Linked DNA regions of Drosophila melanogaster. The protein of the gene in region 1 purifies or fractionates together with the protein of each later gene. This does not show direct contact. Each region holds a gene or a part of one and is shown in the gene's direction. Other genes may lie near its edges. The genes, in order: Grip91, gammaTub37C, Grip163 and Grip128.

The links.
Region 2: the proteins of Grip91 (region 1) and gammaTub37C purify together in Drosophila melanogaster (affinity purification with western blotting; 4 studies listed by BioGRID, with this or other methods). This does not show direct contact.
Region 3: the proteins of Grip91 (region 1) and Grip163 fractionate together in Drosophila melanogaster (co-fractionation; 3 studies listed by BioGRID). This does not show direct contact.
Region 4: the proteins of Grip91 (region 1) and Grip128 fractionate together in Drosophila melanogaster (co-fractionation; 3 studies listed by BioGRID). This does not show direct contact.

Annotation. Positions count from the first base shown.
Region 1 is NC_004354.4:13,741,533-13,746,307, reverse strand, and holds the start of Grip91 (Gamma-tubulin ring protein 91), read left to right. Parts: upstream 1-1,624; 5' UTR 1,625-1,909; coding exon 1,910-2,024; intron 2,025-2,573; coding exon 2,574-3,992; intron 3,993-4,066; coding exon 4,067-4,259; intron 4,260-4,330; coding exon 4,331-4,652; intron 4,653-4,775.
Region 2 is NT_033779.5:19,183,235-19,187,626, reverse strand, and holds gammaTub37C (gamma-Tubulin at 37C), read left to right. Parts: upstream 1-1,900; 5' UTR 1,901-1,974; coding exon 1,975-2,023; intron 2,024-2,092; coding exon 2,093-2,295; intron 2,296-2,403; coding exon 2,404-2,994; intron 2,995-3,053; coding exon 3,054-3,584; 3' UTR 3,585-3,764; downstream 3,765-4,392. Other genes in the region: pigeon, read right to left, coding at 1-548, 607-908, 972-1,376, 1,435-1,498; CG46059 (uncharacterized protein), read left to right, coding at 4,292-4,392. UniProt on the Drosophila melanogaster protein: Tubulin is the major constituent of microtubules. The gamma chain is found at microtubule organizing centers (MTOC) such as the spindle poles or the centrosome, suggesting that it is involved in the minus-end nucleation of microtubule assembly.
Region 3 is NT_037436.4:11,992,736-12,000,259, reverse strand, and holds Grip163 (Grip163), read left to right. Parts: upstream 1-2,121; 5' UTR 2,122-2,209; coding exon 2,210-3,235; intron 3,236-3,296; coding exon 3,297-3,450; intron 3,451-3,511; coding exon 3,512-3,876; intron 3,877-3,934; coding exon 3,935-6,195; intron 6,196-6,257; coding exon 6,258-6,507; 3' UTR 6,508-6,986; downstream 6,987-7,524. Other genes in the region: Pop2, read left to right, coding at 1-305; viaf (viral IAP-associated factor), read left to right, coding at 7,216-7,221, 7,391-7,524.
Region 4 is NC_004354.4:15,467,715-15,473,844, reverse strand, and holds Grip128 (Grip128), read left to right. Parts: upstream 1-1,725; 5' UTR 1,726-1,805; coding exon 1,806-1,925; intron 1,926-1,980; coding exon 1,981-2,469; intron 2,470-2,578; coding exon 2,579-3,196; intron 3,197-3,256; coding exon 3,257-3,756; intron 3,757-3,823; coding exon 3,824-5,331; intron 5,332-5,395; coding exon 5,396-5,439; 3' UTR 5,440-5,564; downstream 5,565-6,130. Other genes in the region: mh (maternal haploid), read left to right, coding at 1-951; Alg14 (ALG14, UDP-N-acetylglucosaminyltransferase subunit), read right to left, coding at 1,027-1,602; CG15641 (uncharacterized protein), read right to left, coding at 5,571-5,939.

The DNA of each region.
Region 1 (4,775 bases):
ACAAAAAAAAGAAAAAGAAAGAAGAATCCAGCCAAAAGTATGCGGGGAACCACGAGCAGGAGCAACAGGAACAGAGATGGGTCGCTTTTTGTGGCTAGGATCTCACATAAAGGATGCGAGTGGGCGTACTTAGCACGACCGTCATTATGCCACATGAAATCAAAGCATATTATTTACATGAAACTGTTATAGGCACTCGTACACACACACTCACACACACCTCTTGGGTTGATTGAATTGATTGAATAACTTGTATTTGGAACGAACCAATGATGATGATTTATGCTATCAACGCAATCAAAACTCTGATGATTACACAAAACAAATTCCATTGACTTGAAATTGAGAAAAACATTTATAATATTCCTATGCGCATCGAAAACATGATTTTCCTTAATTTTTTTGTAACTTTGTGTGTCAGAAGACTAACATAATTAAGCTTAATTTTACTTTATACGTATATTTACCCACGGATTCATCTTATTCTGCTTGCTTTTTTTTTTTTTTGATTGAATAAAAGCTGCATTTTATATGATAAGAAAAAGACTTTGTTTTCGCCGCACTTATATTTTAAAATGTTCACACTTCATGAAGAAACAAAATTCGACATATTCTTAAAAATGCGCGCCCACACATCTATATATATTTAATATATATATCTACATATATATATATATAAACTAATGTGTTAAAAGCAGAAAATATACATCAAAAATAAAAATTAAAAACATATTTTAATGCGTTTTCAATGGGCAAATTCGTTTATTTAGTTGGAAATAATTTAGGATCGGGCCAACATTTATTTTGCTTTTTTTTCGTTACAGAAATCTCCGGATATTAAATGCAATTACGTATAGAAGTGAGTAAGGTAAACCGGATGAGAGTTTAACTATGTTCTAAATTAAATACCGGAGGTTTCTGTTTCAATACACATTATATACATTATATATTATTTCACATATTATTTCGCGTTCAAATCTGGTGGCGAAGAATCCTTCTTGGTCACCGGTTCACTCGGTGGTTCCAGCTTGATTTCTGGGGCTCAGGATTAGCCCACATATTGCTAGGTAGTTGGGTTGGCTGCTCCAGGTACTGCTCCACCGCATCCAGCTGCTGATGGCCCATTGCGACGAAGGAAAGTCCTTGTCCATTGGAATTCCAAGACATCCTTGCAGCACCTTAAGCTTTAACTCCCCCAGCAGTAGGTATCAAACACGACTTGTAGCCAATTACAGCCGTTGGTGTGCTCCATGGCGAAACGCAGTTGGTCAGTCTCATCTATGTCTTCAGCCTTTATATTAAATATTAACAATTTTAAAGTTTACCATTTTTGCTTACAAGCAATTGCAAATGCAAAACGGACAGTGTGACCAGGCGAGTGAGAGTTGGAAACGTTTGCGGCCCCAGAGCTGTCAGATGTTTGCAATGGAATTAACATAAAAGCTGAAAGCTGCACTTCTAAACATAACTGTTATACAAAAATGCTACATTCAGTAACATTCCGACAGAAATACATTTTTATAGTAAAATGTAGAACGATAATCAAAATGGCATAGCCTATTGCAGACGAGCGCTGCCAGATCGCTGCACCTTCGGCCAGTGTGTGCCCGCCAGCGGCTAGGACTTTGCCTTGTCAAGTTTCCCAGATTCGGTAACACTGCACTAAATAATTTTAATAAATTATTTGTATGAAGTACGCGCCAATTGGATGCGTTTTTGTCCTATCTGTCGAAGATTTCACGCATCCCGAACAATTGCCAGTGACTGCACGCCGTATTATAGCCAGGGAACAGCTGTGCGTTTGCCATTGGCCAACAGTTGTTGTCCACTTCGCAATTACCAAGCCATCCAAAATCGGCTGTTTAACGCGCGCTTGATTGGATATTTATGAACAATTCAGTGCACCAGGATGTCGCAGGACAGGATCGCCGGCATCGATGTGGCAACCAATTCCACTGATATATCGAATATCATTAACGAGATGATCATCTGCATCAAGGGCAAGCAGATGCCCGAAGTTCACGGTGAGATTTGGGAATGTGCAATCACTCACTGGCTGTCCAGGCACGCAAGGCATACGGACTGCTCTGGCATTCCGGGAAGAAGGCCTCCACCCTTGGGAATCGACCACGTGCTTCAGGATTATAGTTAATCCCAGAAACTCAACATATTTCATGGCATTTTCAAACAGAGAGTCCTTGAGATATGCAACTAACAATACATATACTTATATTTTTATAGTTCTAGATTAAATGTAGCAATAACCATTGCCAAAGTGTGTTGCATAGTCGTAAATGTTCAAAATTAATGTATATATCCCACAAACAATTCAAAGTATTCAAAGATATTTATCCGAAAGTAGATAGTTTTGAATTGTTTTTAAATGACTATTGATCACATATACTTAACTATAAAAGTATGAGCAAGTTTCTTAGATCCTCAAGGTCCTCAATACGTACAATTTCCAAATCAATGAATCTAAGGATACGTAATGCAACACATACACTAGACACTATACATAATTGTAGGCTTCATTGCCCTTGTTTTAATGCACTTTGTTCAATCTTTTGCAGAAAAAGCAATGGATCATTTAAGCAAAATGATTGCCGCCAATAGTCGGGTCATTCGGGACTCAAATATGTTGACTGAGCGCGAATGTGTCCAGAAGATAATGAAACTGCTGAGCGCCCGGAATAAGAAGGAGGAGGGCAAAACTGTGTCGGATCACTTCAATGAGCTGTACAGGAAACTCACGTTGACCAAGTGCGATCCGCACATGAGGCACTCGCTAATGACCCATCTACTTACGATGACCGACAATTCGGATGCCGAAAAGGCAGTTGCCAGCGAAGATCCACGTACTCAGTGCGATAATCTCACTCAGATTCTGGTCAGTCGTCTTAACTCAATAAGTTCCTCCATAGCCAGTCTGAATGAGATGGGAGTGGTCAACGGAAATGGAGTAGGAGCAGCAGCGGTAACAGGAGCAGCAGCGGTAACAGGAGCAGCAGCGGTAACAGGAGCAGCAGCGGTAACAGGAGCAGCAGCAAGCCACAGTTATGATGCCACACAGTCCAGCATCGGATTGAGAAAACAGTCCTTGCCCAACTACCTGGATGCAACAAAGATGTTGCCCGAGTCTCGACATGATATAGTGATGAGTGCCATTTACTCCTTCACCGGCGTTCAAGGGAAGTATTTGAAGAAGGATGTGGTAACGGGCCGTTTCAAGCTGGATCAGCAGAACATCAAGTTCCTGACCACCGGCCAAGCGGGCATGTTGCTGCGGCTCTCCGAACTTGGCTACTACCACGATCGAGTGGTCAAGTTTTCGGATGTATCGACCGGTTTCAATGCCATTGGCAGCATGGGCCAGGCCCTGATTTCCAAACTCAAGGAGGAGCTGGCGAATTTTCACGGGCAAGTGGCAATGCTTCACGATGAAATGCAGCGTTTTCGGCAGGCCTCGGTGAATGGAATTGCAAACAAGGGGAAAAAGGATAGTGGGCCCGATGCTGGCGATGAAATGACGCTATTCAAGCTGCTCGCCTGGTATATAAAGCCACTGCACCGGATGCAGTGGTTAACCAAGATTGCCGACGCCTGCCAGGTAAAGAAGGGCGGTGATTTGGCATCGACCGTTTATGATTTCCTTGACAACGGTAACGATATGGTCAATAAATTGGTGGAGGATCTCCTAACTGCCATTTGTGGCCCACTGGTGCGCATGATCTCCAAATGGATTCTGGAGGGCGGCATTAGCGATATGCATAGAGAGTTCTTTGTGAAGTCCATTAAAGATGTGGGCGTTGATCGGCTATGGCACGATAAATTCCGCCTACGATTGCCAATGCTGCCCAAGTTTGTGCCCATGGATATGGCCAATAAGATACTCATGACGGGCAAATCCATTAATTTTCTAAGAGAAATCTGCGAGGAGCAGGGTATGATGAAGGAGCGCGACGAACTAATGAAGGTCATGGAATCTAGTGGTGAGTTAAGGCATGCTCTTCAAATTGGATTAGCGAAATCGAATGATTTAAATGCTCCATGCTCTTATCTACAGCCTCTCAAATCTTTTCGTACACACCGGACACCAGTTGGCATGCGGCCGTGGAAACGTGCTACCAGCAGACCTCCAAACATGTCCTCGACATTATGGTGGGCCCACACAAGCTGCTGGATCATTTGCACGGAATGCGGCGCTACTTGCTGTTGGGCCAGGGCGATTTTATTAGCATTCTGATTGAAAACATGAAGTTAGTTTTCTTGATGAATGTAATTGAAACTTTTCAATTTCTAATGTAACACTTGAAAATCGCCTTTTCAGGAACGAACTGGAGCGACCGGGCCTTGATATATATGCTAACGATCTCACCTCCATGTTGGATTCCGCTCTGCGCTGTACGAATGCCCAGTACGATGATCCTGATATTCTAAACCATCTCGATGTGATTGTTCAACGACCGTTCAACGGTGATATTGGCTGGAACATCATCTCGCTGCAGTACATTGTCCACGGACCACTGGCCGCCATGCTGGAGTCGACCATGCCAACGTACAAGGTGCTCTTCAAGCCACTCTGGCGCATGAAGCACATGGAGTTTGTGCTCTCGATGAAGATCTGGAAGGAGCAGATGGGCAACGCAAAGGTAAGTGGCTGGCTATTAGACTTCTTATCGGTTGTTTCGAGTGCATGCACATATTTTAGATTGCCAAGTGCCACTCAGAGTGCACATGGTGATTCCAGTGGTCAGCGAACTGCTAGCAAGCGG
Region 2 (4,392 bases), on another chromosome or scaffold:
TCCAGCGAACTGTCATTGCGGAAAGCCTCTATCAAATGGGATTTGGGCACGGACAACGAGACCAGATCCAAGGTGGCCGCATCATAAGCCAGAGCTCCCCACTTTCGCAAAGGCACCAGCTGTGTGATATCGGGACTTCGATTGTGGGCTGCACACACGATATGGCAGTTCGGTTCGTGCTGCAGTCCCACGTCCAAGAGGTGGACAAAAAAGGCGGACGACACCAGCAAGTGATGCTGGCCGTGTAGCGCAAATGTTGGCCTCAGCAGACGGGCCTTTTGCCACGGCACACCGGGCATGACGCAGTGCACCACATAGCCGTGGTGAAGCAAAGTCACCGAGTAGGCAAAGTGCACATCCCTTTGCTCCGACTGCATCGGCTGGTACAGGTAGTAGTGACAGACGAAAAACATGCCCGAGGTGTCCGCCAGTATGATGAGATTTAGCGAACTATCGTGCACGCGCAAGGGAACCGCATCGTCATCGTAGCTTGGCGATTCCTCTTTGGAGCCATTGGGCAGCTTTGGCAAATTGAGGGGTATATTAAGCTGCAATAGAAAGATGTAACTACACCTATACGTAATACTTTAATCTTTAAGTACCTACCACTGTTTCCGTTGGCTGTTTTTCGTTAAACTGAAAGGCGGAGAGCGTGGGGCTTAAAGTAGGAGTTGTCTGCTCGCCAGCCTCCTCCCTCTCGTCCAGCAGACTGAGGCTCTTGGCCTTCGGCTTCAAGTGAATGTAATAAAGAGCCTGGCACTCGGGATCCCACTGGGCCCAGCTAAAGTTCCTGGCCAGCGTTTCGTAGGTCAGTATGCTGGTGTCTAGCCTCCAGGCGCTGCCCTCGCCTCCGCCAGTCGAGCATGTGGTGGAGCTCTGCTTGACCACGCAGCTGTACTGCTTGATGGCTAGAAAAAACAGGTACGAGCATGGGAGTTAGAGGTGGATAATGACATATACATGACACCTACATTCCTCGTGGGTGAGCACCAGTAGCTTGTCCTGCCAGCAGGTGCGCGTGGCACTCTCGACGCGCCACAGGAACTGCGTCATCATCTGGCGGTTGGAGGGCTCCGAGTTGAGGGGCGTGGCCGTGCCACCTTCGGAGCTCCTTACCTCCACGACAAAGGCCTGATAGAGCTTGCCCTCAGTTTTCTCCACGAAGGACAGCAATGTGACACTGCTGTTAATCGTTGCCTGGACGATCTCACGGCAATTGTCGAGGGTCCAAAGGAGTCGCAGCTGCTTCTTGGTGGCGTGAAAGTGGCCAATGCACGTCTCCTTGCGCTGATCCTCGTCCGCGTACTCGAATATCCAGGACGTGAGCAGAGATCCATCCTGTTCCTGGCCCAAAATGCGCCACTCGTTTGCCTTCTCTGCGATTTTTACGGACATCCATGAGGCTCGGAGTAAATTGGCGAAATACGAACTCACCTTTATAGCCCTGGCTGGCCAGGAGACCGCAGAAGTTGGCTGCCAAGTTCTCCTGCCGCAGCATTTTTATTTTTTATTCAATATTTGTACATAAACATTTGCAACGAATTTTTTCAATCAGCCTGCCAGTGTGCACGTTGCGCGCTTCTCAGAAAATAACGACTCCCGAGAACCGTTACTCGCAGCCACAGGGTGTGCTGTACAATTGAAAAAGCTAGTCCTTTAAATTTAAAAAAATAACAGTTAATGTTTTATGTAAATGAAAACATAAAAAATATATAACTATGGCTAATTTATTTGAACCTAAATATTTAAAAAAAAAATGGATCAAATCTTAATTCTAAGTATTTTCTATAAGTCCAATAACATTAAATAAATCATAAAGATTAGTAAAGAAAAATAGGTAATAACTTACTGTTGTATTGTACTTCTTGTATATCGATATTAATGACTTCCACTTCCATCTCCAGTTGGCCTTCGATGCACAGTTATTATTTACTGAGAAAGAAGCGAAATTAACTAAACTGCAATTCGAGCAAAATGCCCAGCGAGATTATAACCCTTCAATTGGGCCAATGTGGCAATCAAAGTAAGTTCTTCACGTCGAAATCGAAGTTAAGAGAAGCTCCGGCTTGATCGAGATCACTCCATTCCGCAGTTGGTTTCGAGTTCTGGAAGAGATTGTGCCTGGAGCACGGCATCTCCCCGGATGGCGTCCTGGAAGACTTCGCCACCGATGGACAGGATCGCAAGGATGTGTTCTTTTACCAGGCGGACGACAACCATTACATACCGCGGGCCGTTCTCATAGACTTAGAGCCCAGAGTCATTAACAACATCATGACCTCTCCGTACTCCAAGGTCAGTGCGGAAACTGGTCTTATTGGATCGGATTCTGATCTAATCTACTTTATTTTATGTATTTCATTTAAAAAACTATGTAGATGGATATGTGTTTCCCCTTTGCAGTTGTACAACCAGGAGAATGTGTTCCTCTCCAAGCACGGCGGTGGAGCAGGAAACAACTGGGCGTCCGGCTTTAGCCAGGGTGAGAAGGTGCAGGAGGAGGTGTTCGACATTCTGGACCGCGAGGCCGATGGCAGCGATTCGCTGGAGGGATTCGTGCTCTGCCACTCGATAGCCGGCGGAACTGGGTCCGGAATGGGCTCATATGTCCTGGAACGGCTGTCCGAACGCTTTCCCAAGAAGCTCATACAGACGTACAGCGTTTTTCCCAATCAGGACGAGATCAGCGACGTGGTTGTGCAGCCATATAACTCGATCCTTACCCTGAAGCGTTTGACCAAGTGCGCGGACAGTGTGGTGGTGCTGGATAATACCGCACTGAACCGCATCGCCACCGAAAGATTGCACATCCAAACGCCCACTTTTACGCAGATCAACAATCTGGTGTCCACCATCATGAGTCTGAGCACCACCACCCTGCGATATCCCTCGTACATGAACAACAACCTCATCGGTCTGACCGCCTCGCTCATTCCCACGCCCCAGCTGCACTTCCTGATGACGGGATATACTCCGCTAATGTCCGACTGCGAGGTATGATGATATGACATATGTAAATGGGAATGCAAATAAAAAGAGGCAACCACTTTCAGACCAAGACAAGCGTTCGAAAGACCACCGTTTTGGATGTAATGCGTCGCCTTCTGCAGCCGAAGAACATGATGGTTTCCGCGCTGACGGACAAGCAGAGCCGCCAGTGCTTCGTCTCCATACTGAACATCATCCAGGGCGAGGTGGATCCATCCCAGGTGCACAAGTCGCTGCAGCGCATCCGCGAGCGAAAGCTGGCCAACTTCATACCATGGGGTCCGGCCAGCATCCAAGTGGCTCTGCCGCGCAGCTCGCCCTATGTGCAGTCGGCCCACAAGGTATCCGGATTGATGATGGCCAATCACACGGGTATCAGTTCGCTCTTCAAGAGGGCCTTGGCCCAGTACGATAAGCTGAGGAAGCGCAACGCCTTCCTCGACAACTTTCGCCGCGAATCCATGTTCCAGGACGACCTGACCGAACTGGACATCGCACGGGACACGGTTGACTGCTTGGTGCAGGAATATGAGGCAGCCACCCAGATCGATTATCCCCAGTGGAGTCCTGCTGTCGAAGCTTCGAAAGCCGGTTAATCGATAATTATTTATAATTCAACCGTCAATACTTTTTATTTTTTTTATCAACAATAATATATGTATTTAAAATACTTTATAATCAATTTAGGAATTATAAAAGTTTCCAGGAATGATTCAACTTACATAAATCAAGCAAAAATAACTCTGAACGAGGTAGGAAGTAGTAACGATCACACCTCAACACACAAAAGTTCTGATATCAACTTTTGTGTGAAAAAAAGGGTTTTTTATTCAACTAAGGATATACAATAACTAAAATTTACTTATTCGTTAGTTAGTTTAAAGTTGGTCAACACAATCACTAATTCCACATCCACATGTATCTTGATATGTGTACATTTTTATAGTCATATTGGCTTTGATTTTTCATGTCACTTCACATTTCCCCGTAACAGACTGAGCGAAATGAATTTTCCATTCGTATTCCAAAATTCGATGTGTTAACACCTTTGAAAATAGTTTGTGTCTTACGTTTTCCGGTACCTATTTTGTTGTTTCTAAGATCCTATTTCTGTAAATAGGCCAAATGTAAGTGTTTAGTTCACATTGCATAGAGAACAATCTAATTTGGTTTAAAGTCCACTTAGCTGCCCTTTTAGAAGGAAATTAGGATACCCTGAACGCTTTTCCCCAAGACAAAATAAAATCGTAAGTGAAAACAATTTATATGATTAATTCTTAGCTTTCCTTTCACTTGGAAGATCATGTGCTGCGGACCCTGTGGACCTCGCTGCTGCGATCCGTGCGGCGGATGCTACAACTGCTGCGTGGAACTCTGCTGTGTACCCTGCACCCCAGCCTACAT
Region 3 (7,524 bases), on another chromosome or scaffold:
ATGATTTCCACATTACACCGGTGGCGCACGATGTACTCTTTCGCTATCTGCTTGAGCACACCATGAACTTAAAGCCGACGATCAGCTGCATCCATCTGCTGAGCCGTCCGGCATACAATGGGGGCCCTGCCCCCGACGAATCTGCGATAATCAGCAGTGGCAACGGCACAGGCAACACCAACTCCACCGAGCAGTTCACCTCGAGCGCCTACATGGTTACACCTCCTAATACGCCCGGCATGGCCAAGAGCGATGCCGCATCGCTGTCCAATCGCCATACGTCTATTTCGAATAGCTTCGGATGATTAGACAGCTCGCTCGCTGGTGTTGCCGTGCACTTGCCACTGCTAACGTAACGTGCCTCCGCCCATCATAATCATTATTCCTTAGGTTTAAGGTTTTTCATGGTTGTCATAACGCATTTTCATACATAACTCATCTATGTACTTAGTTTTTTGTGACCTGCACAATTTACAGAGCCAGTGACCCAGAATTTATGAATGAAATCCATAATTTGAAGTGTTCTTAGTAGTTAGTTTGGAGCTGTTAAACCCATGTGAAACATGTTTATTTAGCTGTAATGCCCGCGATACGAATTGAAATGAGAAACGCGCTGGATTCGAATGGAAAATTAAATGAATTGGAATTAATTTTCTTTAAATGTTTATTTGCATTCTTTGGTGTTTGGGCATGGCATATGCATATCATAGCTTGCTTGATTTCATATGACATCTTTTTAATTGTATTGATGTTCATTTTAATTTATGTTAAGTTCACGCTCTTCATTTATATCGAATTAACAAATTATTCTTTTGTAATTTTAAGCGCTTTGCTGACATATGTTTCCACACGGTTTACTGTGTGTATCAGCGTACCAAGACCTTTATCTTCTAGAGAACTGCCGAATAGTTTTGAAATAACAAGAACATTGCAGAATAAATCCCATCCCATACTAACATTCATTAAATATGAAATTTACTAATATTGAAACCTCGTCCAATCACATCGGTTCTGCGGTATGTAACAAATCCTATCTACAAGTAGGACCCACCCATCTACTTGGGATTACTTTCTAAGACTTTGCTGCCGTAGAAATATGTGTGCTTTATACGCTTTGTAGCTCCCAACTAAAGTTGCTCGCATTGATACATCCCATAATTACCATACTTACCCAGAAACTGCTTTCTAACCCATTTGTGCTGTCCCATTCGAAAAACGATCCAATGTTCTGTACCTGCCTAATGAAACTTACAATCTTTGCAGATGTTCTTCGAGGACAACATCGACCATGCGAAGTACTCCGGACACCTGTACGGCCTGGGTACCTCCTTCATCGTCAATGGCACCAACTTCCACGACAGCAACGGTGAGACGAACAGCGCTTCATGATTCGTACTGATGGGGAACGTGGTCGTGCACGACAGGAAGTTCGAGCAGGAGGAATCACCGGGTCCGTCGGCATCTGTGCAGGCCACACCACCTGGCCAACTGATCCTAGCCGTAACAACACCATTGCAGTAATCTGTGGACAGTCGACACAGATCGTTCCCATTTGTGAACAATTATACCCCGTTGGCCATAAAGCTAACTTCTTGATGTTTCCCACGCAAGTTCAGATGAATAGGCAACCGTTCAATACGAAAACATGGCATAAACTAATTGTAAATCGCATAGAAATGAAAAACCGGCAAAACTAAAATAGATTCAATTTCAAGTTCTGCATGTCTTAAATGTGTTACGAATACAAAACTAAGGTATGTAAAATTAAGCTAAAACTGTAAGCCAATGAGCGAAACAGAGAATATTGTGTATTTGTAAAAAGAGCAAAAAAACAATATATTTAAAACTTTTTAATTTAGTGTACATTTCGAAAACGTGTTTTTATTTGAAGTATGAATACGAATCGAGATGTTTGGTTTAGTAGAAAAAAGATGGCGAAAACCTGTAGAAAAAAATATCAAATATCAAATATCAAATCAAGAGAAACCAAGAATCCCAATATCTACAGATGAAAACAAAATTTTCAAGGGTTAAAAATCAATAGTGGGTTAATGAACATATAAAAGGTATTTTTAAAATATAACGGAAATACGCCGAAGTAGCAATAGTCGGATTTTTGTGAAACTGTGGTGCGGTCACACCGAGCCTAGTCCTTATGTTTTGTTTATGGAAAATATCTTTTAGTTTTTGAGTATTAAAAGCCAAATCGATGGCAACTGTGGCTGAATGCAATCACAGCGTCCTCGACCTGGTAACCAAAATGGCCACAATGCTGGTGGCCGATGAGATGAAGCCAAAAAAACAAACAGCTGTGCTGGTGGCCAAAAAGCGCTCCAAAATCTATGAATCGCTGCTTCACAGTGAAACGATGTCGTCCCAGGACAAGCTGGAGATGCTCCACCAGGTGACCAGCGAGGTGGCAAAGAACCCAGACCGGATGGACATGCTGCTCAGGTTCCAAAATCTGCTAGAAGGACAGGATAAGGAAGAATCGGAGATTACACAGGACCAGGATGAGGAAAACCAGTCCGAAGTGGTGATCAAACGTATCAAGGCAGGTCCACTGCAGCTGATTGAAACCATAGAGATTGTGGAGGAGGCACTTCATCCAAAGGCCTTTCCCGACATCAATCAAATGAATCGCGCCCTGAAACCCCTGCAACTACAGCCATACTCCGATATTCTTACAACGAGTAACCTGAATATAAATTTTCCGCCAGAAAAGCTAATTCCGAAGATCATACCATCTACTGTAATTCGCATGGGATTATCAGAGTCCATTACACGCATGAGGAACGAAATGGAAAAACCAATGCATCCACCACCCCGATTGCCAGTGCTCGCGAAAAAAGTCGTAGCTCCATTAGAGGATGAACGACCTTTTGTGGCCCAGCCTGGACCGGAGAAGCACTTCGTTTCGGATAAATTGTTGACCAACGAACTTAAGATCCTCCGGAACAAGAACCTGGTTCTCAACTACCTAGATGAAGCAACCCTAATCGATCACCTAAAGAAAGCAGCGTGTGGTATTGAATCTTTAACGTTTCCCATCTCGTCGGCAGATAAGTTGGAGTTGCGAGTGAGGCCCAACACAACTTTGCCAACTATGCTGCCGGAGGTGCTGGCGGATTTTGCAAATCACTTCATTCGTGCCGGCTGCGCCTTCCTGCGTTTGAGTTCCCGCACCAAATGGAACAATATCGCCGAAATGCGGCTGGAAAGGCCTCTAAATCGAGTGAGATTGAATACCTTATTTCCAGTAGTGATATATTCAACAATCCCATGCTTTCTTATAGGCCATGCGAGAGACGATTATGGACTATCTAAGCACCACTCGGCAGTTTTTGCTCTCTTTGCAAGCCGATAGCCTTTTCCAGCTGCTAAACAACACCTCCACAGCGATTCAGTTACTCTGCCAACTAGATAGGATGTTCGAAAATGAACCAAGATGTAAGAATGCCGCGACGCGAAATTATTTCAGAATTAATCTCTTTTATATACATTAATGCAGTAAACCTGAACACTGGGATAACTGGCTCCTTCCTGTTGAGCTCCATCTGGCTGGCCATCGACACCTGCGGAAACAAAGACTTCCTGCACCTGCTCATCTATTTCTTGCGCTGCATATCCCGTAATTATTTTATTCAGCTACAGAGATGGATCTACCATGGTGAACTAGACGAGTCGGTCAACGAGATTTTCATCAGCCGCTGTCTGAACACTTCACCGTCTTTTACAAACCAGTGCAGCAAAGAGTTCTTTGACAAAAGCTATCAAGTGGACAACGAGGCGATTCCTGAATTTTTAGTCGGTTGCGAAGAGGAAATTCTTCAATGTGGCAAATACAACCTGGTGCTAAGGGCATATAACGCTCAGGTATGCAGAAGATTATTCAAAACTAGAATCCATATATAATGATTTATTCTTTTTTTAGCACCCCGTTTTTGACGTGCAGTACCCGGATATTGTGGTTTGCCTAACGGAGCAACAACTCAAAAATATGCGCCGCAACCTGGCCGATAAGTATGCCATCATCTATAAACGTTTCGGATGGTGCAGCATGCAAAGCATTTTCGAGGACCGCATGGCGACAAAGCGTGTATTTGCCAATCTAATGGTGAAGCGAACGCAGGCCCATCTGGACGCGTGGGCGCAGAAGCAGCGTGAACTCCAAATAAAAGCGAATGCCCAGAAAAAACTCCAGAACGATCAGTTAAACGCAGAGCAGGAACGTATCCAGCAAAATCACTTAGAGAAGCGGCGTCAGGACATTGTTAATGAACTTGCATTTCAGCGGGAATGCGAACGGATGGAGGATAAGCTCCTGGAGCGGGAAAAGCAAGAGCTGCAAAAGAAAGTGGTGCAGCTAGCAGCTGTCCTGTCGTCCAGTCCTGACCGAAGCACAGTCAGCGATCTCAGTTTTGCATCCTGCATTGAGGAACCAGATTGTCTAGCAGAATCATCTTCTGATAAAGATGATGCAAATACAGAAAATTCAGAGGATGAGGCAACAAAACAGTTGGATAAGACTTTAAATGTTCCATTGGAACAGCCCGAAGCTGAATATCAAGCGGATGTAGATGTGGACCAACCACGTGGCAAAGAGTGTTCACTTCCCAATGTGTTTCAGTATCAACGGAGTCACTCGGACGTGATAAATTCTAACGAGCATCCAACAACCCAAGCAGAGTTCAATCGAAACCGCCAGCATGGTCTCTCCTCCGACCAGTTTCAACAGTGTCATGCCACGGTACATCTACAAGAGTCCGACTTACTTAAAACCGCTGCCAGCACGAGTTCAGGATTGCACGCAGAAATTCCTCAAGATATTAATGCTAATCTCAATTGCCCGGACACGAAAGAGCTGACCGAACTACAGCGAAACCGCAAGCGCAACGAGCATCATGACGGCTTCTTCAGTTTTAACTCTACCGAAGATGAGCACACCCATCGATTGCGTTCCCTATTGAACTCAAATACTGAACGTGGCAGAAATCGACTTCGGGTTATGGAGACCGAGTTCGGTCTAGGTTATAAGAACACGGATATAGAAACAAAGGCCACGCCCTGTTTGCCTCTCGAAATCGACAAGCTTCACGTCGAAATTCCCCTGGCGGTGCTAACTCCAATGTCCACCACTTCCGATGTGGATTTCGGTGATCCGTCGCCACGGGAACTACCAGAAATAGCTGACACTGCTAATAATAACAATGTTAGTGGGAGCATTGAAAGTTTGTCTCCGGAGTTGCCAAAGCCCGTTCTTGCAATTGCTAAACCAACTAGCTTATTGCCGAAACTGGATTTTGGAATGAAAGATGAAAGGGAGACGGAACAGGACAGAGATAAAGTTAGCACTTTGCCCGAGGCTTGCAATCCGTTTATGGCCCGCCGCTGCCTGCAGCTCTCCGTAATGGCGCCCCTTAACGCATACTACGGACTGCTCCGAAATGAAGTGCTGAGAATATTCCAGGAGCAGCGTATCTACGAGCATTTCCGCAAGCTCAGAAACTACTTTTTCCTGGTGGACGGTCAATTTGGAGCTACACTCACGAACGAAATTCTAGGAAGAATAAGGGCGGGCGTTGGGCCACGAAGTCTCAGCCAGAAGGGCATCCTTGACACCATTTTAACCAATGCGCTGGCGGCTTGTTCGGCGGATGAAACGACGGTATCGGAGAACCTTACCCTCAATTGTACCACCATCCCGGATACGCTCAACTTCCTGTCCGTGGAAGCCACTTCTATGCTAAAGCTGAACTGCAAGATTGATTGGCCTTTAAACATGGTGATCAGCTCGGAGACGATTTCAAAATATGGCCAGATCTTCGGGTATCTGCTGAAGCTTCGTCACGTTAGTTTCGTGCTGGATGGAACCTACGAGTATCTGCAGCAAATGGGCAAGCTTCTGGGACCGGAACTTCGGACATGTACTCATTTCCGACACATGCAGATGATGCGCCACAAGATGTCGCACTTCATGACCTCGTTTCAAACGCATCTGGTGGCCAAGGCCCTGTTGTCCACCTGGAAGAGCTTCAAGGAGGAGTTGTGCACAGCCGATTCCATTGAGGCGTTGTACAAGCAGCATGTTGCCTACTTAAAGCGGGTAGCCTTCCTAGCACTGCTAAATCGACGCAGTGCGAAAGTAAAGGAAACCATTGATAATATCCTAGTGATTATACTACGCTTTTGCAAGTGAGTTTACGTCTTAAATAGTCTGCTGATTCATTTTATTCTTTAATTTAAATGTTTTTCAGAGTCATTCAGTCGCAGTCCTTTATTGTGGATCAAGATAATTACTTTGTGCACCCCCGCTTCAAACGTCTGCAGCAGGAAGAGGCTGAGTTCGAGAAATTCTTGCAGTATCTCATCTATTTGGGCAACAAGGCGGCCGCTTCTGGTTACCAGGAGGAAATCGGTGACCTGATTTGTATTATTAACTTTAACCACTATTACAAGGTATCTGGGAACCATACTGGTTCCTCAATGGAGGACAAAAAGTGCTAGCCAATAATTGTTAGATAGGGAATTTATCTTGCCATTAAGCTGAGCTTAGAACATTTTAAAAAATATTTATGCATGCATGGCGTCTCCTAAATGTAAAGCTTCGGTGAAGAAAATCAGCTTTAAAGGCATTTATTTCTTAGTACTATTTCTTTAGTTTCGGTTAACAGTTTTGTTGTGTTGTAAGTTAATATTAATTTTCAAATAACCGGCTCAAATTAAAAGAAAATAATTTAATTAGTAACATCTAATAGTGTTTTAATTGAACTCGTATTAAATGCCGAAAAAACTGTTTTGAATATTTATCCATATCATTAATAGATTTCTGTTTAATATTTAAGAAAAACTTTTAAAAGAGACAATTGTCTCTAAAGTAGAATGTACGTATTAAATATTGTAATGAAACCAATGTCGACATGATTTCTTGAAACTGTTGATTCGAATTTATAAATAAATGTGCTTATTTATGTATGTCTTACCATATTTAATATTTAATATTTAATATTTAATTCAAACGTATGTAAGGTATCGCTTCCCTATCATCTCTAAGTGACTGTGCGCGTACGATGTATCGGTATTCGCTCCATCCCTGGTCATGAGTCACTTCGTGTAGAATAATTCAGTTTTATTTTTAGTTTATAAAAGCGCTGCACGCGATCAAGAATTTTATATTTTTAAGTAATTTATTTCATCGAACTATAATCAAAAAACATGCAGGTAAGATGGACTGTTATAAGCAAATTATATTTATTATCCGAACAATAAGGTTTTTCCATTTCGATAAATGGTAATGGTGGGTGTGTTTTGGTGCATCCAAAAATAAACCCCATATTTGGTATTGAAAATCATGAATGAAATGAAACTCACGTGGCCTTGTTGTCCATAGGACCCAAACGAAGATACCGAGTGGAATGATGTGCTCCGAGCCAAGGGAATAATTGGGCCCAAGGCGAAGGAGGCGGAGATCACAGAGGATCAGATCCAGAAGCTGATGGACGATGCCATCCAGCGGCGCACAGA
Region 4 (6,130 bases), 1.7 Mb from region 1:
ATAGATCTTAGTGACACTGATGTTCCCGATTCCGCTAAACTTCGTCAAATTCGACTTCAGCGTTTTAGCGAAGATGCTTCCAACAAGCGACAGAATAAGAAAAAGAGGCGTCGTGTTTCCAGCGACAGCGAGATAATCAACTGGGAGTCCTACGATGATGACGTAATGGTCAGGGATGTTCATACGCCCATCGTCAACTTGGTCGAAAGCTCTAGTGATGAAGAGGAGATGAAGATGCCAGCTGGCAGAAAAACCATGACCAGTCAGGAGCGCACGCAGATCATCAAGCGCCAGGTAATGGAGGATGAGTTGACCTTGTGTGAGGACGATATCCTCTTAATTGATGATGAATACGACGATGAGGTGGCCGCAAATGAATCTTTAACAGCCGCCACGGAGCTAGCTGACCAATCCATTATAGATGATATTTTTGGAGAGGACACCCTGCTGAAGGAGTTCCAGCGTGAGAACGACGTGCAGCCCAGTTGCTCAAGCTACGCCAAAAGAATTGAGAACGACATCGTATCTTGTCCCATTTGCTTTGAGAAAATGAGGCGCACTGAGTTGTCCAATCACTTCGATGGCTGCGCCATTATGGTGCGCTTGGAACCGCCATCGTTTAAGCCTAAAAACCGCCGAACAACTGCTTCCTTAACCTCAAAGGACTCGTCGGGAGCTTCCACATCACGCCGCGCTAAATCGAAAGCAAAGTCATCAAAAGGAATTCTTCGCAGCTCCGGTTACACAGAAGGGGAGATCGACAAGCTCAACCTGAGCTCCTCTACCGACTCGTCTACTCTGCCGTCTAGCGAGGACGAACTTACTCCGCGTCAGCGCCGCCAGCGCAACCTCTTCAAAGAGACCGTAGGCTGCCCCAGATGTGGCCTGGAGATCATGCCTCTACACCTGAAGGTCCATGGATCCGTCTGCGCTGGTCGCAAGAAGCGCTAGGACAAAAAACATCTCATACAAAACATAATTCGTTAAATAGAAACTAATGTTAACTTTAATGTTATTAAAAACATGTTACAGGATTCGCCCAAAATATCGCACATTCTTTTTATCCAAATAGCGCGTGGCCAACGCCGGCCAGTGGACCACAAAGAGGTCCGCCAGCGGAAGGAGCAGGCGTCCGCTCAGCGACAGCGTCTCCACGCGGCAGAAGCTCTCCACGAACACTATTCTGGAGTGCGAGGGCAGGCGTCCGAGGAGGCGCCACAGATAGGCGGCATAGCAGAAGGGCACACAGGTGCCGGGTCCATTGCAGAGGATCAGTTGGGGGCGATCACGCCAGACCAGATAGCAGCTCCAGAGAAGCGCCCACAGGCTGGTGAAGATGCTGCTTAGCCAGGATTGGCCCACGTCGCGGCTGCGCGGCACCTTCACGAATTCCGCCCTCTGGGCAGCCTGCGGCAGGACCTGCCTGAACTGGCGCTCGGAGGTAGAGTCACTGTTGGCCAGGATCAGTCTAATTGGCTGGTACTTCTCCGTCTGTTCGATGTCTGTCTGTTGCAGCAGCGCCTGGGTCAGCCGGCACATCTCCGCCGTGTGGCCGCCAGAGCCCAGTATTACGTAGGTGGGGTGAGGCGAGCTGGTCGTCATATTGCCCTTCGAAAACTCAATTTAAATGACAACATTTACAATTGTTTACGTTTCAAGTCGATTGTCGATCATCCACGAACAGCTGTTTCCATTGCTATCGATAACTGAACCGATAATTATGCCGGTGTACCATTTACGTTGTTGTCATTGCTGAGGGCGCCATTTATAGAATTTATTGGATCTCAATCAGAAAGCGGAGCGAAATGGCTCCTCCCGCCCAGAAGGGTAACCTACGGAAGCGCTCCGGCAAGACCTCGACGGCAGTCAACTCCGCCATAAACGAGAACGTGCGAAAACTGGTCAGGAGCCTGTCGGAACCGGGGGTATGTTTTAAAACAGATGTTATCCCTATTCCAATTTAACCAACTTAAAACGCAGACGAGCCAGAAAAAGTTGCGCCAGATGGAGGATACGGCATTGAAGATAATCGCCAACCAACGCAGGACATGGGCTCCTACAACGACGGACATGGAGGTGAAACGCAACCTGGACGATCTGGCAGAGCGTTTTCGGGCGGAGGGCATGGCGTCTTTTGGTGAGAGCATCAAGGACTTGGCCATCAGGTATTTGGCTATGGACGAAAATCAACAGCAATTCAATCCTAACCCCGGATGGCAAATGCTCGAATTGCTGTTTCGCATAGCCGATAGGCCGGTGCAAAAGATCCGGCTGAACCGCGAGTTCATGGAACAGCGCCGTCTGTCCATAATTAATAGCATGGAGGAAGCCGAGCGACAGGCACAGATAGAGGAACAGGCGAAACTGGAGGCAGCCAAGAATACCTCCGAAACGGAGGTGGACTGGGCAGCGCTGCTGTCCGAGGATTTTCTGGATCCGCCAGAGGATGACAGCTCGGACAGCTTAAGTGTGAGCATCTAGAGAACCCCAAACATATGTCATCTGCTACACATATGTAGCCTGTTCTTTCCATAAAATCATTTGCAGCATACTAATACCTTTACCTTCTTTCCAAAAGGACTGGTCGGAGGAGTCGGACTGCGACTCGACAACTACTCTGAAGCCCGATGAAAATATTGGCGTCTCGCGAAGCCTCTTGGAAATGGCCAGGGTGTACGAGCAGGCCATGATGGCAGTCGTTCCGACTGGAAGTGTTAACAAAACGTATATGCCGCCCGAGCAGAGCGTGATCCGGAGTTACGACTTTCGGATAATGAAACCAACTGTTCTAAGCCTCAACAACTTAAAGGGCAGCCATCTGAGACGAAGCAAGCTGCTCCAGTTGCCGCCACCCCAACCGCCCCGACCATTCACCCAATATTGGCAAAGTGGCAACACAGATACGCTCTTCCGTAAAATCCATTCCCACTGGTGGTGCCAAGATGTCCATTTAAACGCCCTGCCCTCCAGTGCTAAGCCACTGGACAACTTTGCCGTCAGCTACGTGCAGTTTCTGAATCACAATGCCCGAGGCTTGTTGGCCCTGCCAGTGCCGAAAACCATCACGGAGCCCTGTCTGCTAAGGGAGATCCTCTTCATGTTTGTGCGTCCAGCGAGCTGTTGTTTCTTTGAATTCGACAAGGCCACGCGACGCATTACTGTGCGTGACAATGTCAGTATTTGTACGGTGACTGCGGTAAGAAAGTCGAATCGTTAATGTGTAACTCTATCTTTAGTCCGGCTTTTTTTTTTGTAGAGCACAATGCAAAATTTTCTGTTATTTGATGTGGTGCCTGCGCTGGAGGACATGATGGAACTGCGTCACATCATCGATACTCATACGTTGCATTTTCATGGCGTAAAGACAACATACACCGTGGAGTTCTTTGCATACGGCCTGAGAGATCTTGTCCAGCCCATTTGCCAGCTCCTCATCGCTTACGAGGATCGTGTCAATAAGGATCCAGCGAAAAATACACTGATCCGTTTTACGATTGAGTTCAGGGAACATTTTAGCCAGCTGCGCTTACTGCGAGAGCTGGCCGAAGATGTCATCCTGGATAAGGGACCTGCGCACATACGCAGTGCCTACTTGCTATCCAGACTGTATAAGCACACCTTGCTGCAGGTGCCGCACCAGAAGCTGGCCACTGCCCTGCTGTTTATATCTCTCAAGCGATATTGTATCATCATCGACGGCTGGTGGCGCAGGGCCGCGCTGGAAGATCACCTTCGCGAGTTCATCGTGGAGTTTTGGTAAGCCAAAATGGTGCTCACACATCACTCTGGCCAGCTGAAGTCATAACTACATTGTTTTTAATAGTTACGAGGAAGATGCGAACACACGTAGCCACGTGCGCAAACGAAATATGGGAATGGAGGATGATTTGCTACTCGTGGAGATCTTCAACAAGCTGCAATCCTGCCCACTCTACCAGCTACTGCTGGAGCATGCCTTGGAGTCTGGCGAAACGCAAGATTTGCTATGTAGTGTAAATACGCTGAGCGAAATGCTGACCAGCAACAATGAAATCCAACTGCCGTCGCTGCACGATGAGCTGTTCACGCAGTTCTTTGCGCAGCTAAAGGTTTACTGTGGTGCGGACAACACGGATTACGAGGATGAGCCGGAGCCGGACAAAGACTACGAAGATCTGACTGTGTGCAATAGGCAGGGCATTAGGAACCATGAACTTTTCGCCATATTTACCCAGCCGTTGGTGGAACAACGTTTGGAGCGACAACGTGAGCGGCTTAAAAGCAACCCCGTTCTAATGGCCAACATTTTGAAGCGCTTGGAGCGCTCCACATGTCTGCAGCTGAAGTCTGAGTTGCCGGAGGCACTGCGCGAAATACTGCGAAGGAGACAGTGGCTGGCGAACGAGTACGCGATTCGAGCGTACTGCAAGGAAACGCAGGTGGCCGAGAAGATGCGATTCCTGCGGCATACGATGCTGCTGGAGAAATACTACCTATTTGTGCCATACTACAACGCACTCTTCGTGCGCATGGAGAAAAACAATAGCTGGGCACTGGGTTCGGTGCTCACTTCTAAGCTATGCGCTGTGCTCCTTCCGCATTATCCGCAATTGGCTCATTATCTTCATGTCAAGTTAATATCCCAGATAAACTCGAATTCAATCAAGGTCTATGAGGCCCTGGAGGCTATTGAACTGGACTTCGAGCGGCCAATGGCCATGCACCAGTGGTACATTCTCACACCCGCGCACATGCAAGACTACAATTCGGTGTGGCGTCTGATGCTGAAGGTGAAGTGGGCCGTCTGGAAGCTGGAGAATATGCAGTTTTTGCGTCGCGCTAGGTTCAATCCCTGCGCACCACTGGATTTGATCGGTCTGACCATTCGTCGCCTGGAGATTGTGCGCTTCTGGTTAATTTTCCTCATCAACAACCTGCACGCGCACATTATGGAGGCCGTGAGCCGGCAGTTCGAGCTCAGGATTGGCGAGTGCAAGAATGTCCGCGAGTTGCGTATCATGCACGACGAGCACCTGGCGTGGCTGAAGACACACTGTATGCTGACCGACGAATTTAAGGCATTCCGCGTCGCCCTCGACCAGATCTTTCATCTGGTCTACGTGCTGGACATGGAGTGGACCACCTGCGCCAGCTGCATGCACGACCACGATGCCCTATGCTTGGACGTCACCATTTCGGATGACGGCATTGATGACAGCGAAACGCAACGTCGTAGCTTGGAGTACCTGGCGCTCAACCAGGTGGCGGAGATCGAGTTAACGTACATACGTTGCCACCAGATGCTGGCCGACATCCTTAACACGCTGGTGCACCAGAACGATCACGGATTCCGTAAGTGATTGTTGGTCCCGAAATTTGGACATTTGAACTTACTCTTTTTCACTTCGTCTTGCAGTGTCTGCCTTGGAGGAGACCATCAACTCCAGTGTGCCCCATTAGAATCGAATCTCCTCCACAAAGGATCTTGTTAAACATTACGCATTACCATCACCTGCACCACTACCTATAATCCCGACCAAACATTCCCATACCAACTGAATTAAAAGCAGCTTATCTTTGTTGACAAAACCTCACTCGAACTCCTCATCGCTGTCGCCGAAGGGCTCGACGATCGGTGGTGGCGGCGGCAGGGTGGTCACCTCGTGCAGCGTGGGTCGCCGGATGTACGGCTGGCAGGTGAGCTCGCACATGCGGGCGCTGGCGAAGACCGTGCGATGTGGGTAGCAATTACCGTTGACGTGCTCGCAGCGCCGGTAGGCGGATTGGCGATTGAAGACGTACAGATCGGCGCATGGCGAGCAGTTGGCCTGGCCTATCAGTCGCGTCTGCAGGCACTGGAAGCGGCGATCGCTGGCGCTGATGCCCATGGACACCTGGCGTATGGCCATGGCCAGGGCGATGGCCACCAGACAGCAGCAATGCACTCCTTGCCGTCGCATAGTCCGTTGATCTCTGCCGCCTCGCCGCTCTATTCGTTTCGCTTCGCCCGTTTAGCTGGTTTCTCATGGTTGGCGTGGCGCTAATGTGTTCCGCCTTCCTTCAATCTTCAATCTGCAGCACCTCAATGTTAGGCTAATACATATTTGGAGCAGAAAGTAACCCTTTCCAATAGTTTAAACATGTCAAAAAG